2 linked regions of the Elephas maximus indicus genome follow. The protein of the gene in region 2 interacts with the protein of the main gene of each other region in a biochemical or structural test. Links are inferred from orthologs where the notes say so. Each region holds a gene or a part of one and is shown on either strand. Other genes may lie near its edges.

Region 1 (7,451 bases), on a different chromosome or scaffold from region 2:
ACCTGTTTGAAATTGTAAGCATTTCTCAAGCCAACCCAAAACTCCAATCTCCAGTGACATTTTTGTTAAATGTGCCTGGATAACTCTCTCTCCCTAACTTGTGATCACAAGGAAGCCTACCTTCCATCATCGTCACCTATCATAGGTGTATATTGTTTTAAATGTTGCCTGAGTATGTGTCTTTTGATCTAGAATTGTGACTTCTTAGGCCAGTAAAACCATTCTCATTGTTTTCCACTGCTGCCCCCATTCACAGCTAGGACAACCTCATGCACAGTGTTATGAGGCCATCAACCTATTCTATTTTTAATAATGGGAATGTGAGTGTAAGTTCTTTATGTCTTTCCCATTGATTTCTTTCCCAGAGGTCCTGTTAGAACCTTTTCACTTGTCTAAGTTCTACCTGTCCTAAAGCCAGCCTATGTTCTTTTTACCTGTACAAAGTCTTCCCTGATAGCTCAAGCTCAAGGGAATAACTCTCTTTTTAGTTATTACAACAGTTAATGTCTGAAAAATTTATTGGAAATTATATGTGTAAAGCACTTAGCATTTAATATCACTATTACTTTTGATATTACAGGCCTTAGCTTTTAAGCAATTAACTGGTTTTTCACAGGATAGGAAATCACAGCACATGAAACCATGTAATTAGATTGTGAAGCGAGTCCTTTCATATCTGACACGAGGGGTAGGTAAGACAAAGAAGCAGATGCACAAGAAGAAAACGGTCCCAAAAGTAGAGTGAGAAAAAAGTTTCTTGACGCTCTGTGGCTGTATTGGCAAAGGGAACAATCAAGCAGTCTTGAGTCTATCACTTTCTCAGGATGAGACTTAGTTCAAACCTTGTCCCCTCTCTGGTCCTCATTCTCCACATCTAAGAAAATGAGGCAGAAAGATTCGCTTCACTTGTGTCGGCAGGAATCAATTCAACTAAAAGATGGATTTTAATGGGTACCATTCTGGAGCTCTCTCTAGCTTTATATATCATTACCCTCCCCTCTGAACCCTCCTCACCATCCTGATTTTCTCTCTCTCTGACTTTCTTCCTCCCCCTCTTTCTCCATTCCTTCCTTTTTTCCTCCCTCCCTAACTCCCTCCCTTCCTTCTTCCTTTTCTTTTTAGTTCTATCAGCATCGCTTAACTAAAGAACGTCTTAAAAGCTATTTCAGTTTCTTTTCTTCGGCCGTTCCTGTAAGATGACACATCTCTAGTTTACTCTAAACTAGAATTAAAGAAATTGAAGAGCTGCTACACACACACACACACACACACAAAGGTGCCCTAGAATATCTTCAGGAGTATTATACTTAGAAGTAGCTGAGCCTATTAAATTATGGTTTTTAAAAAATTCACTACCTAAATAAAATGTTAACAACTCTGTTTTCTTTCACTTTTACGGAGACGTGAGCTTCAAAGCTTCATTTACATTTCTCAGCTTGATGACACTCAAGAAATGGATCCAAAGCCCTTTAAAGCCGTGTTATTTTTAACGTTTGAAAAGTTATAAAGCATTTGGCCTGAATCAAGTGAAGAAACACAAAACAAATTCTGCGGGATTGTAATACTGTGAAAACTGGGTGCTATGAAGTAACGAAGGCAAGATTTTTCACTTTAGCAAGGTGGGGGAGGGGAGGTGTTACGTTCTTAAAAAAAAAGTTCAGGAACGTTTTAAATGAAGGTTTTGTTTTTAAGAACAGGTAGTTCTTAAATTACCTGTTCTTAAAAACAAAACCTTCATTTAAAACGTTCCTGAACATATATGGTACCAGTGCAGTGTTTTCAATAACATACATACTAGTGAGTTCTCTCTAAACATCAATTTTCTAAAATATGAAGAAACTTCCTCCTTCATCTCATCTTCTATTTCTGGATACAAATCTAAACATTTACTTCAAACAAAGTAAGTGTGCAGAGACAGCTTGACCCTGAACACCGTGTACCTTACAGTTGCTTGCAGTTTTAGTATTCTGAGGAATCTTTGAGGGAACAGGTGTTAAAAACATTTCTGCTTTCTGCCTCTGTGGTCCACGTTTCTTCTGACATTCTAAGCTCATCAGAGCGGTGGCTTGTGAAACTAGCTTTCAGTTCGCCTTGTGGGCTTTAACGTTGAATGCCCAACACTTTAAGGAGTTTGGGCTTTCCTGCTCCTTCGTTGAGAGACTTTGGCCTCTGAAACTTAGCTCTTTGTTAAAAACTCTTGGCAATGGATGAGGCCTCAGAAACCTCAGGAACATTTAGATTGAGTGTATGGAACACTGAAATCTGGTCTCAAGGCCTTGAATACATGATAACAAGTTGTGTAAACATGTCAGATTCCCTTATTGCTTCCTTCCTTGATTACAAGTCTCTGTCTCTAAAGGCCAATAGCTCCCCTCTACTCCTTTGGCTCATGTGAACCTAGAAAGTTTTGAGATAATGGTTCCACAAATGTTTTTCTGAAAAAGCCAGACTGTTTCAGAGAATAAAGTTCCTGTTTCTTTTCTCCCTTTCTCTCCATGATACATGTATGTTGTTTTTGCTCTCAGCGAATCCATTAGTTTGTTCTCAAGGCTCTTTCTGGGGGAAACAACAAAAATCAGAAAGGAAAGGCGAGGAAAAGGAGGCCACTTACCGTTCTCTGAACTACCAAAACCATAATGGTTGCCACAGCAAAGATGAGACACAGTGCCAGGGTGGCTGTGATGAAGTAGAAGTAACTCCGGCTCGTGGTTCCCAAGTGGCTGGCGACGGAGCCTGCTGGCACATGCATGGCTGTGTCTTGAGAAGGGGCCACGCTGTTGAGTGCTTGCTGCAGCCCAGGGTCCATTCTTTATATAGTCTCCCCCACATCACACCTTATCTCTCCTCATCTGAGTCGGTTCTTGGCCCATCTCTGTTCCAAGAAGGATTCTCCCCCTGCATCCTGGATCATGTGACTTGGAAAAAAACCTTCACCGGCTGCCTTGTGAAGAAACTCTTCTCTGGGGGCGTAAGGCAAAAGGCAGCAGCAAGGGTGGGGGAGAGGTTCATTTTTCATCGCCAGGGATTAATTTGAGTGCAGAGAAACTGTAGCTACAGAGAAGGTAGCTGATGTCAGAGGGCGCGTAGGAAAATGACGGTTTCCCTCCCTGTGTGTGTGTGTGTGGTGTGTGTGTGCACGAAGCAACTTCTGTTTCACTTAGACTCAGCCACAAAACGCCTTCCTGCTTGAGAAGCTGTACATTCTCCTCAGCGAGGCCTGCTGCTCGGAAGACCTCCTCAGAGAAGGTCTCTTTGCTGGGGCTGAGGAAGGCCAGGTTCCTTGGACTGCAGTAGGATGACTCAGAAGGGTTCAGTTTGAGAATGTTAACTCCTGGGGAGAACTGGAAACACTTCAAGATATTTGAGAAGGAAAAGCCCTCAGATGTGGAGATTTATCCAAAGGGAGGCAAGCTCCTGGCAGTTTGAAATTTGGGAACAGGTTAAAAGATACTGTCACAGAGCAGGAATCTAGAAACCTTGCTTCTGAACAAAAACTCCCGCAGAGTGTTTTGGAATCTGTTAAACTTGTAGATAAACCGGGGCCTGCCATAAAGCTCATAAAAAGGGGAAGGAATTAGCAGTGGGGGTGAAAGTGGGGAGGTGGTATGGTGTGGAATGTGGTGTGTGTGTGTATGTGGTGTGTATTCTGTGTGGTGTATGCATGTGGTGTACGTGTGGTGTATATGTGGTGCGTGTGTGGTGTATGTGTGGTGTATGTATGTGGTTATATGTGGTGTATGTATGTGGTATATGTGTGGTGTACGTGTGGCTGGTATTATGTAGTGTATGTGTGGTGTATATGTGGTATATGTGTGGTGTATATGTGGTGTATGTGTGGTGTATGTGTGGTGTATATGTGGTGTATGTGTGGTGTATATGTGGTGTATGTGTGGTGTGTGGTGTATGTGTGTGGTGTATGTGTGATTTATGTATGTGGTATATGTGTGGTGTACATGTGGCTGGTATGTATGTAGTGTATGTGTGGTATATATGTGGTGTATGTGTGGTGTATATGTGGTGTATGTGTGGTGTGTGGTGTGTGTGTGGTGTATGTGTGATGTATATATGTGGTGTATGTGTGGTGTATGTATGTGTTATATGTGTTGTGTACGTGTGGCTGGTATTATGTAGTGTATGTGTGGTGTATGTGTGGTGTATGTATGTGGTATATGTGTGGTGTACGTGTGGCTGGTATGTATGTAGTGTATGAGTGGTGTATATGTGGTGTATGTGTGGTGTATATGTGGTGTATGTGTGGTGTATATGTGGTGTATATGTGGTGTATGTGTGTGGTGTACGTGTGGCTGGTATGTATGTAGTGTATGTGTGGTGTATGTATGTGGTATATGTGTGGCTGGTATGTATGTAGTGTATGTGTAGTGTATGTGTGAGGTATGTATGTGGTGTGTGGTTGTGGTGTGTGTGTTGTGCATGTATGTGATGTGTATGTGTGTGCATGTGACTACCACAAATGAACCTCTAGCATAGTGCTAGGAGCTTTACATATATTGCTTTACTCCCTCCTCACCTCCAGCCTCTGAGGCAGATTACATGTTTCCGTTTACAGATGGGAAAAATTGAGGCTCAGAGAGGATACAAACTGCCAGAAACAGTTACACAGTCACAAATGCTGTTCAGTGAAGGAGCTTGGGCACACATCCTCACCGGCTTGGCCAAAGTCCATGCCGTGTTATTCAATCTGAAAACCTGACACCTGGCCTTTCTCAGCCCTATTTCTTATTAGCCTTGGGTCTTTGAACAAGTACTTATGCCCCTCCTTTTTCTCATGGGTAAAATGGGCTAAGGATAGCAGCGTTGACAGTCACCGTGAAGATGAAATGAGATAATGATGTAAAAGTGCTTTGTAAATGGGAATAGACTTGGCAGATGGTGTTAGACCATTCCTGTTAAACACCTCAAGTGGTCCTCTGGACCAAGCCTGGAATTTAGATAGATCCAATAGATAGATTCTCTGGGGAACAGAGCTGTGCCACATATTTGTGGTTACTAATGACTGGATTAGGAATCTCCCTGGTTGACTCTCTATTTCAAAACACCATTTATTTAAAATGTGAATCACTGCCTAGTTGCTGTTTCCAGATGTGCCTGTTTGGAGACTTCATTTGGTATCACCCTGGGAAGTAGCAGATAATTTTTAGTGCTCCTCCCTTTTCTGCTTAATTTTTGGCTACATACATCTCTGAGAGCCATAGCGATCCCAGACCTGCCAAAAGAAATGTTCTGTATCCAAAACCAAGCTTGGATTATTACCACTGCCACCCCCACATAGATCCTAAACTTCTGAGTATCACCTGAGTTAGGTCAGGCTCTAGGAGTTGGTCTGGATGTCTCTTCCCAGTGAATCCATAAAGTCATGGACCCTGGAGATGGAAGGGACATCAAAAAGTGAATTGTTTTCTTTGGCTAAGTAGAATGGTAGGCAGCATACCCATTTGACAGTTGAGGAAGTTGAGATCCCCTTGATCCCAAGTTGGGCTTGGTGTTGGAAGAAGTGGGTGTACACGTTCATTTGGTCTGGTGATTGGAATGAGTAAGCCAGTATTTTCTGGGGGGAGGGGTGCATACTGACTGATTTGGGGAGAAGGCCAAGTCCTCTGGTGGACATGGGCAGTGAGTGAGTTGTGGGGGCTCTTTAATCTGCCCAGAGCTGCTGAGAACAGGCCGTTTCCTCGGCCCTCTGTGTTCAGCCTCTTTGATGAAAGTGGAAAACTTCTAATTATTGAATGGAAGCTGTGGGTGTTGAAAAATAAAGATGCTTTGCTTCAAGTGCTGGTCTTCCTGAAGGCCCAGGGGGCTGAGAAGGGCAGTGGAAAAAAATGTTTGTCTTACAGTTACCAGTTTTGCATACAGTGTAATGTCCTAGGAGGGAAGAGCTGACAAGGGGGAAAATCGCCCTTTGTTTTTACTCAGAACCTTCTGAGGAGTTGAGATTTTCAGATCAGTTTGTTTCTCTAGCAGCTTCTGGGCCAGATTTCATCCCTGTCCATGTGCACTGCTCTACTGATAAACCTTCGATGGTTCCCTATTTCATGCTCTTGCTGGTTTAAACTCCTCTCTGCGTTTCAAGCTCTTCCAGAATCTAGTCTGACCATCTTAGTAGGTCTCATCCCCTGTGCTAACTGGCTTCTTTCTCTCTTCTATTCAGTTACCCAACGTAAGAGTGGAAAGAGCCGTTACAGAGTATCTCGTTGAATGGCTTTCAAATCCTTTCTGGAAGTGAAACTGGATGGAGAGTTTAAAAATGTAAGAAAGTGGAGCTGCTCTGGCTGAAAGAAAGGTGGGACAACAAGAAGAGCTGGGTCCCACCTGCTCAGTCACCTTCTTCTGGCCTAGGGCCATTTGATGATGGAATAAAATTGGAAAACTGATGTAATCCAAACTGCTAATTTCTCAAATCCGGAAACGAGGACACAGGAATGAGAATGGCCTGAGGGAGTGCACACTGGCAGGAATAGAGACAGGCTTAGAAGACTCCTGTGGACATTCTCAGCCCTATTCTGCTAATACTTCCCCTGCGTCCAAGCCTCCTCTCATGTTTTCCTCACCCTTCCATAGCTTCAGATCCTTCCTGTCCTTCCAAGCTCTGCCCACCTGCTTCACCTCCTCCAGGACAGCCTGTCCAGATCTCTTGAGTCCACCAACATCCTCTTTCCAGAACATTCTATCTCCATGCCACATTATCTCACATCTTATGGAATTATCTACTTGTCTTGACTTATAGCTCTCAAGTGTGTGAATATGTGTGAATTTGCCTTCTGTGTGAGAGTCAGAGTCCCACTGAGGGCGGTCTGCATTTTCCCAGTCTTCTGAATACCTGTTTTACTTGGTGTTAGGCCTATGGTCAACCCTCAACAAATGTTTGTCTTAACTTTGTGTTTATGAAAAGAGAAAATTCTAGAAGAGTGGTTTATACAAAGGAATTGTGTGATGGCATGTTTGCCTCTTCTCATCTGCCCCCATTGCCCCATCCTTCTCCAGATGGCTTACCTGGCTGCCCACTGGCCTTTGCATTCCCACATGGCCCTGTGAGCATGACCACCAGCTTCCTGTCAGCCTGTAATTAGTTGCTGAGGTGTGGCTGCAGCACCTGAGGCTCAGTGGACAAACAGTCTCTTATTTCTTCAACTGGGAACACCATTTTGAAGATATGAAGAGGAACCAGTTGTAGGGACACTCATTTTTTCCCCTTATAAGGGACTGCGAGAGCGCTAGCATGCTACTAGTAGTTCTCAAAGCATGGTTCCTGGACCAGGAGCGTCAGCACCGCCTAGGGAATTGGTAGAACTGCAAATTATCAGACCCCACCCCAGACCTACTGAATCAGAGGCTCAGGCTGGGGCCTAGCAATCTGTTTTAACAAGTGCCCTAGGGAATTCTGATGCCTGAAACCATTTGAAAATTATAAGTTTAAGGAAAAAAAAAACAAAACT
Region 2 (7,741 bases):
CGACTCAACAGCCACTGGAGTGTGTGTGTGTGTGTGTGTGTGTGTGTGTCCTCCACGCGCACTGGAGGAAATCTTGGTGTACCCTTAGTACTGCTGGGAAGATGATGGGGGAATTCTCCTAACTGCTGAGTTCACCATTTGGTTCTGGAATGCCGTGGGCTTGCCCCTACGCCCTACTTGTGGGTGAAAACGGTGGAGTGTTGAGGGGAAGCCTCATGGTAATAAATTCTTCTCTCAGAATTTGCAAAAGTCATCCTAGATAACATTGTAAAAGCCACACTTGGGGAGGCTGTGATACAAAGCGTCACAGGCTAAATGTCTTCCTCAGAAGTTTCCATGCCAGCAAGTAGGCATTCTTGCTCTCCGCTGCCAGCCACAAAATGATGCTTTGTACAATCAAAAAGAAGGATTTAAAAGTCAGAGATTCAAGCCCTGGCTTGTGTTTTGCTTTGTTGTTGTTTGAGGGGTTTTATCTGTTTGTTTGTAGTAATAAGCTTCTCAGACTTTTATGGGAAAAACAGAAGTGGAAAAAGGTTTGGATGGTCAGAGGAAGTACTGTGCTGGGCAGGCAGTCCCCTCCCCCACAGATCCCCCCCCCCCCACCGCCACATTCCCAATGCCAAGAAATGACCCAGGAGCTGGGCCCTCAGGAGAGATGCTTACCCCTCTAGTAGGCGGGAAATGCAAATTAAAACAAGAAGGATAGAGTCCTTTTCACAGTCACATTGACAAAAATACAACCTCTGATAAGATCAAACGTTGGTTAGGATGTGGGGAAGTCGTTACCCTCATGTACTGCTGGTGGGAGGGCAAATTGGTTACCCTGGAAGGCAATCCAGCAATATCTTTTCATTTGGATACATATTTACCCTGTAACCTCAATATCCCACTTCTTCACATCTTCCCTGGGAAAGAATCACACACATTCCCAAAAGCTTCCATATAGGGCTGTACATTGCAAGAGCAATAAAAACAGAAGGAAAAAAAAAAAAAAGGAGTACGAACCTTATTACCCATTGAGAAGGAACATAAATAATTAAATTATGGAGCACCCACTTGGTAGAATATTAGACAGCATTTTAAAAGACAAGTGGAGGATCTATAATTATCAGCGTGGAAAATTCTCCAAGACATACTGTAGACATTGTGAAAATCAAATGAAGAAACATAGGTACCATATAGTATTGTATGTGGAAAACCCTATATATTTCTGCTAAAAAAATATAAAGATATGGACATACATTTGTATAGGGTTGCAATGAAACACATCAAATCAATGAGGGCTGTTACTTCTATGAAGGAATTGGGATGAGGAAATGTCAAAAGAACTTAGTTTTATCTGTAGTGTTCATAGTTTTTGCTTTGAGGATATATTCATACATTCTTTGGAGAATATATAGAGGTTTCACTCTGTAGAAAAGAAGCATGCTAGGTTCCACCACCAAACACTAGCAAAGCCTGCCTGGCCCTCTCACTTTTTTGGTTCCCCTTCTCTCCCCAAGATCTTGGCACCCCAAACTCTCACCTCCCCCGGGGTCATGAGCAAAGGGTTTGGGGAAGTAGGAAGGGTGTTCTTTAGTCAGTGTCTCTGCCTTGTAAGGATGTCAGCTGCTCACTCTGTTGAGGGTGTCTCACGTTGCCCGTTGAGATGGAATTGGGGAGGTGAGTGGACCTAGGAGGGAGGTTTGGTGTACCTGCAGTATGGGCCAGGAAGATGATGGGGGAATTCTACCTCTGCTGAGTTCACCATTGTGTCTGGAATGCTTGTTCCCTTTCCTGCCTACATCCTCCTTCCGTCTGCCTGAAGCCCATGGGCCCTCTCTTTCCTGATTTCAGATTTGGAGGAATAGGACTAAGTTCCAAGTGTGGGTCGCTCTCTACCTGTAGGGATTAGAGGGGGAGCTAGACCCTGCTCCCCCCAAGCGGACTGCTATTGCTCTGTCCTTTGCCCCCTGTACCTGTTTTCAGCAGGCATCCACCAACACCCTCTATGTGCTACCCCAGGGTCCACCAGGATATTATGGTGGCCCATGGGCTTCTCTCTGCCCTTCAGACCCTGCACACAGCACTGACAGCAGTAGATGACGTGACCAGGTCCACATTGTGTTAATCTGAGCTCTCCCCCCAATGCCTGGTTTGGTGCTGGCCACCAGTAAGTGCTCAGTTTTCCTATAAAGAAGCCCCAAACTCGGTGGTGGGACTTCCCACCAAAGGAAGTCAGTACTGACCTTTCTAAATGGTCAGATGCCCACCACGTGCTCCAGGACAGGAATCCTCACATGGTTGGTAGGCAGGACTGGGGCCTGGGGGCCCGACTCTGGCTGGTCCAGCATCTTCACCTCTGCTTCTCACCCACACGCAACTCTCCCTCCCTTACTAGACCCTCCCAACCCCCACCCTCCCTCAGGGCGAAGAGCTGGAAGAATCAGGCAGAGGAACAGAGCCCAGGCACCAACCTTTTCTGACCACGGGAGGCCCCACCTGCCTGCCCGAGACCCCACGAGCCTCACCTGATCAGCCCCGGACCCCGACGGGGCCACTCACCGAGCGGGATAAACAGCGTCTGTCTGGTGCCACGCAGTGCCCCCAGCTCAATTAATGTTGAATGAATGATCGCCAGCGCCTGGCGACGGCAGGGAGGAGGAGCCCCCACTAGCCCTTCAGTCAACCACCCACCTGTGAGAACTTGTAGATTCCACCACCCTTCTTGTCACTTGCGCCCCCTCACCCCAGTTGGGCGGGAATGGGGTGAAGAGCTTCCCTGCCCCTTCCCCTGCGCCCCCACGCGTGTTGTCTGGGGCTCAGGGTACAGGGTGAGAAGGAGGCGGCTCTGGATCGCTAGCGCTCCCCCCGCCCCCAACTCCCGCTCCAGCTCCAGTCACCTCTTACCGTCGGGGGGGCTCGGAGAGCCCGGAGGAGCAGCAGTCCCAGCACAGCACGGAAGGCGTGCATCCCGGCGACCGGAGGAGGGCTCCCCAGCCGGGGAGACTGGGAAGCGCCCTAAACCCACGTGCGGTCCCCACAGCTCGTAGACGCGCGCTGTAGACCTCAGGCGCCGGGGGTTGGGAGCTCACCTCCCTCAGCACCGCACGCACATAGTGAATCACTTCAAAAGTGTGTGCTCCTTCCCCAAGGGTTTGGCCCCAACTCTTCCCTCCCCCATCACCCCGAGGCTCGCTGGGTACCTAGAGCGGTTTCCAGGAACATTGCTAATAACAAATACGAAAAATCCGCCAGGGGTTGGCGGTGTGGGGAGCAAAAACGTGCAGAGATGACTGAGGGACAGGCTACCGGGAGCACACTTGTAGGTTGCGCTTTGAATGGCCCGCCCCGGATTTGACGACTGAATGAGTCCCCTGGCACCAGGGAGGAGGCCTGGAGTTTGCTGCCCTGTCCTGGCTGGTCGGAGGAACATAGAAGGCAGCTCCCCGCAGGAGGTGTGGAGCTCAAAGGAGACTAGGAGACCGTGATCTGATCCCAAAGTCTCTACTCCCACCCCATGAAAAGTGAGACCTGAGCAGGTTCCTGCTCCTGACACTCTGATCAAGCCAACCTTCTTCCTCCAACTGTAGGTTCTTTGGAAGAAACAGCTGGAGTCAGGAGACTCACAGAGAAAGCCAACACCATCCACACACCCCCCTATTCGTAAATATTTGCTGTAAAGTGAATCAAGGGATGGATGAAGGATGGATAGATGGATGGATGGATGGATAGGTATGGATGGACTGATAGGTAGGTGGGTGAGTGGGTAGAAAGAAGGAAGGAAGGAAGGAAGGAAGGAAGGAAGGAAGGAAGGAAGGAAGGAAGGAAGGAAGGAAGGAAGGAAGGAAGGAAGGAAGGAAGGAAGGAAGGAAGGAAGGAAGGAAGGAAGGAAGGAAGGAAGGAAGGAAGGAAGGAAAGAAGGAAGGGAGGGAGGGAGGGAGGGAGGGAGGGAGGGAGGGAGGGAGGGAGGGAGGGAGGGAGGGTGGGTGGGTGGATGGGTGGATGGGTGGTTGGACTGACTGTTAAAAACATGGATGGACAGAAGAACAGCGTATGTGGTTATCAATCCACAGATGTTTCTCCGCCCGCTAAGAGTTTTCAGCTCAAAGGAGGAGGCTGGCACTCTGACATAGAAAAAAGAAACAATAAATTGCTGAGGCTGCTTATGTACAACCAAAAACCTCATAGGATTTAGTTCCTTGGTTTGAAGGCTTAGGGTCATGGTTTCCTGGAACATCCCAGTTAATTGGCCTGATAACATGTTTAGTGCCTCTAGTTCATTGCAAGCAGCCATTTAAGGCATGACAATTGGTCTGTATTTGCCTGGAGCCACAGAGGAAGAAGGAGAGTCAGGAATAGGAGGATACGGAATGTGTGGCTAATTGCCTCCATGACTAACTGCCTCTTTGGCCATAAGACCAGAAGAAATGGATGGAACCCAGCTACCATTACTGAACTTTTTGATTAAAAATTCTATAGAAGAATCTTTATCAAAAGGGGAAAATACAGAACAGAATTTTAAATTCTTATGGACTCCAGACTTTCTGGAGCCATGGAGGCTGGATGAACCCCTGAAACTGTTGTGCCGAGATAATCTTTAAACCTGAAACAAAAAACATCCCCTAACATCTTCCTAAACCAAACAATAGTTTAGCTTAACTAGCAAAAAATGTCTGCCTTGAACATTATGCTTTTTTAAGGACTATCTATATGGAATCAAATTGACAACAGCAACTCAAAAGATGAGACAGAAAACTTAGGGGCAGTGGGTTTATATTAATGAGGAAGGAACAACTCAGAAAAGGAGGGTGAGAATAGTTGCACAACCTGAAGAATGTAATCAATGTCTCTGAAATGTACGTATAGAAACTGTTGAATTGGTGTGTGTTTTGCTGTGTATGTTCTTAACAACAACAAAATAAATTTTAAAAAAGAAAGAATACAAGCCTCATTCTAATTAGGTTCTCATTTGTGCGGGGGATGATTTTCTCCGCCAGAGCTTTCTCATCCCAGAGGTTCTCTTTTGACTCCTTTCATTCAGTAAATGTTTATTGAGCAGCCACTGGGTAGGCCCAAGACAATGGTTATTTTGCCACTTTTTTGTTTGTTTTTTTCAGATGAGGAAACCAGGGCTCAGAAACAGGCAGGCAGCCCTAGGTTCTCTAACTAAAGTTGGACAGGTTTTTTCCTATGAGCCCAGAAAGACCCAAGGACCCTCAGGCTTTTACATCTCAGCCTGTCCTGTAGAAGGCCAGGCCCCTATCTTCTGGAAATAACCCCATCTTCACCAGCAATAACCTCCAGCCAGAACGTTCCCAACAAAAATCTCAACTCTTGATCAACCCACACCCAATCTTCCTTGGGCTCCTGGATTCCACTTGGAAAAATTGCCCCTCTTATGCCCCCTCCCAGGAGATCCACTTCTGAGCTCTCCCCTGGATGCCCCAGGCCCAGTGTCGTAGGATGTTTGAGCTGGGACTATGTTAAATAAGTAAGTTATGGGAGTAGCCTGCCTAGGATATTCCCAAAGCCAGGCAGGGGTGGGAAGAACCCAGGATATATGTTTCCCAGTCTAGAGCTTTCCACAATACAAGAGCTGGTGTTTTGAATAAATAAATACTTGTTAAACACACATACAACCAAACAACATCAAAACAGTTTGCATGAGGGAAAATACAAGTAAAAATCAATTACAACTTTTGAAAGTTCAACCTTTCTAGTAATCAACAAAGATGCAAATTAAGGCAAACTTCAGGAACTTTTTAGATTTATTTAATCTTTTTTTTTGCTTTATAAAAATGATTTCTGTAAAATCGAGCCCCACAGTTGCGGTGAAAACGGAGTATTCATTCATACTCTGCTGGTAAATTTTACAGTTCTTTTCAGAAAGCAATAAGACAATTCTTAGAAAAAGCTAAAAAAAAAAAAAAAAAGTTATTTCTGACTTGTTGCCCAGTAATTTCATCTCAGTGAAAAGACACTAAGGAAATAGTTGAATCAGAAAAAGAAAACTATAAACACAGTGCTGTTTCCCAAAACATTACTTATAAGAGCAAAATTTTGGAAACATCCTGAGTGTCACAATAGAGAATGGTTAAATAAATCATGATACATCTATTTAATGGGGTATTACACATCCATTAAAAATTAAAGTTATATAAGCATAGAATTATCCTATGACCCAGAAATTCTCCTCCTAAGTATATACCCAAAAGTACAGATACTTGTATATCAGTGTTCATTAGAACGCTGTTTACAATAGCCCAAAGGTAGAAGTAACCTATACGTCCACCAACAGATGAATGGGTAAATAAAAAGGAGTACATAGGTTCAATGAGCTATTTATTACTCAACCATGAAGAGAAATGGAGTCCTGATGCATGCTGCAACAGGAATGAACCTTGAAAACATGATGCTGAGTGGAATAAGTCAGTCAACAAAGGGACAAATTTGTATATCCCACTTACATGAAATATTTAAAATAGGCAAGTATATAGAGATCAAAGTTGATTAGTGGTTACCAGAGGTGGGCAGGAAGGAGGGGAACAGGTGGACTCACTGCTTAGGGGACACTGGGCTTCTGTTAAGGATGATGAAAATTTTGGAAATGAATAATGGTGATGGTTGAACACTTGATAGACATAATAAATGTCACTGAATTGTACATGGAAGAATGTTGAAATCGCTAATGTTTTGTTTTATATATATATATATATATACCACAAAAAAAAAATTTTTAGAGATGCCGCGGAAACCCATCTCTTCCATGGGCTTCCAGAGGCACCCTCCTAAACCCACCAACCCACCACTCTGTATAGAACCCTGGTGGGCCAGGGACATGGCTCATTACCCAAAAAATATTATTTGCTTAATAGTAGTAATAATAGAGCTACCTTTGAGTGTTTGCTTTGTGCCAAGAGTTCTGAGGCATAGATTCCTTGGATCTTCATGGAAACTCCCTGAAGCAGATCCTATTTTTGTACCCATTTTGCAGGTGAGAAACTGAGGCACACAGACATAAAGCCACTTAGCCAGGTCACAAAAATCCAACGGTGCCCAGGACCCTCCACAGCCTGGCTCAGACCAACTTCTCTAGCTTTGCTTTAGCTTCTTTGCCTTCTCTCTGTTCCAAAACAAAAAACCAGCTGCCATCAAGTTGATTCCAACTCATGGCGACCCCTTGTATGTCAGAGTAGAACTGTGCTCCATAGGGTTTTCAATGGCTGTGATCCTTCAGAAGTAGATGGCTAGGCCTTTCCTCTGGGTAGATTTGAACTGCCAATCTTTCAGTTAGCTGCCGAGCACTTAAATGTTGGCACCACCCAGGGACTCCTACCTCTGCTCTGCTCCAGCCCTCCCCAACATGCCAGGCTTTCTCGCCTCTCCTTGCTTTTGCTCCTGCTGGTCCCTCCGCTTGGAACCCAGTCATACTTCTATTTCTCTTCATCACCTGCCCCCAGGCCACCGCCTCTTGGTTGCTTTCCTGGCACTGCCCTTCCCCCCTCCCCAGCCATCTTTCCAGCTAGAAAGGCGGTTGGTTTCTGCTGTTGTCTGTGCCTCAATTCTAGAACTGAGCTCGGCCTGTCATAATGGTAATGAGTGGCTCATGTGTCCCTCTGCCCCAGGAAACTGTGGGCTTCTGGAGAAGTGGCATGGGGCTGCTGGCCTGCCCATATGCAGGTGATGCGCGTGCTGGTCTGCATGTGCCCTGTCTGTGCATGCCCCCCCAGTGCCGTTCACAGTGCCCGGGCTGCCCCCC

What was found.
Region 1: the proteins of TNFRSF8 (region 2) and TNFSF8 form a complex in vitro, tested with the Homo sapiens proteins (2 studies listed by BioGRID and IntAct). The link is inferred for Elephas maximus indicus from reciprocal best matches to the Homo sapiens genes TNFRSF8 and TNFSF8.

The regions. Positions count from the first base shown.
Region 1 is NC_064827.1:64,198,206-64,205,656, forward strand, and holds the start of TNFSF8 (tumor necrosis factor ligand superfamily member 8), read right to left. Parts: upstream 3,062-7,451; 5' UTR 2,807-3,061; coding exon 2,612-2,806; intron 1-2,611.
Region 2 is NC_064821.1:51,915,298-51,923,038, reverse strand, and holds the start of TNFRSF8 (tumor necrosis factor receptor superfamily member 8), read right to left. Parts: upstream 3,081-7,741; 5' UTR 2,953-3,080; coding exon 2,890-2,952; intron 1-2,889. UniProt on the Homo sapiens protein: Receptor for TNFSF8/CD30L. May play a role in the regulation of cellular growth and transformation of activated lymphoblasts. Regulates gene expression through activation of NF-kappa-B.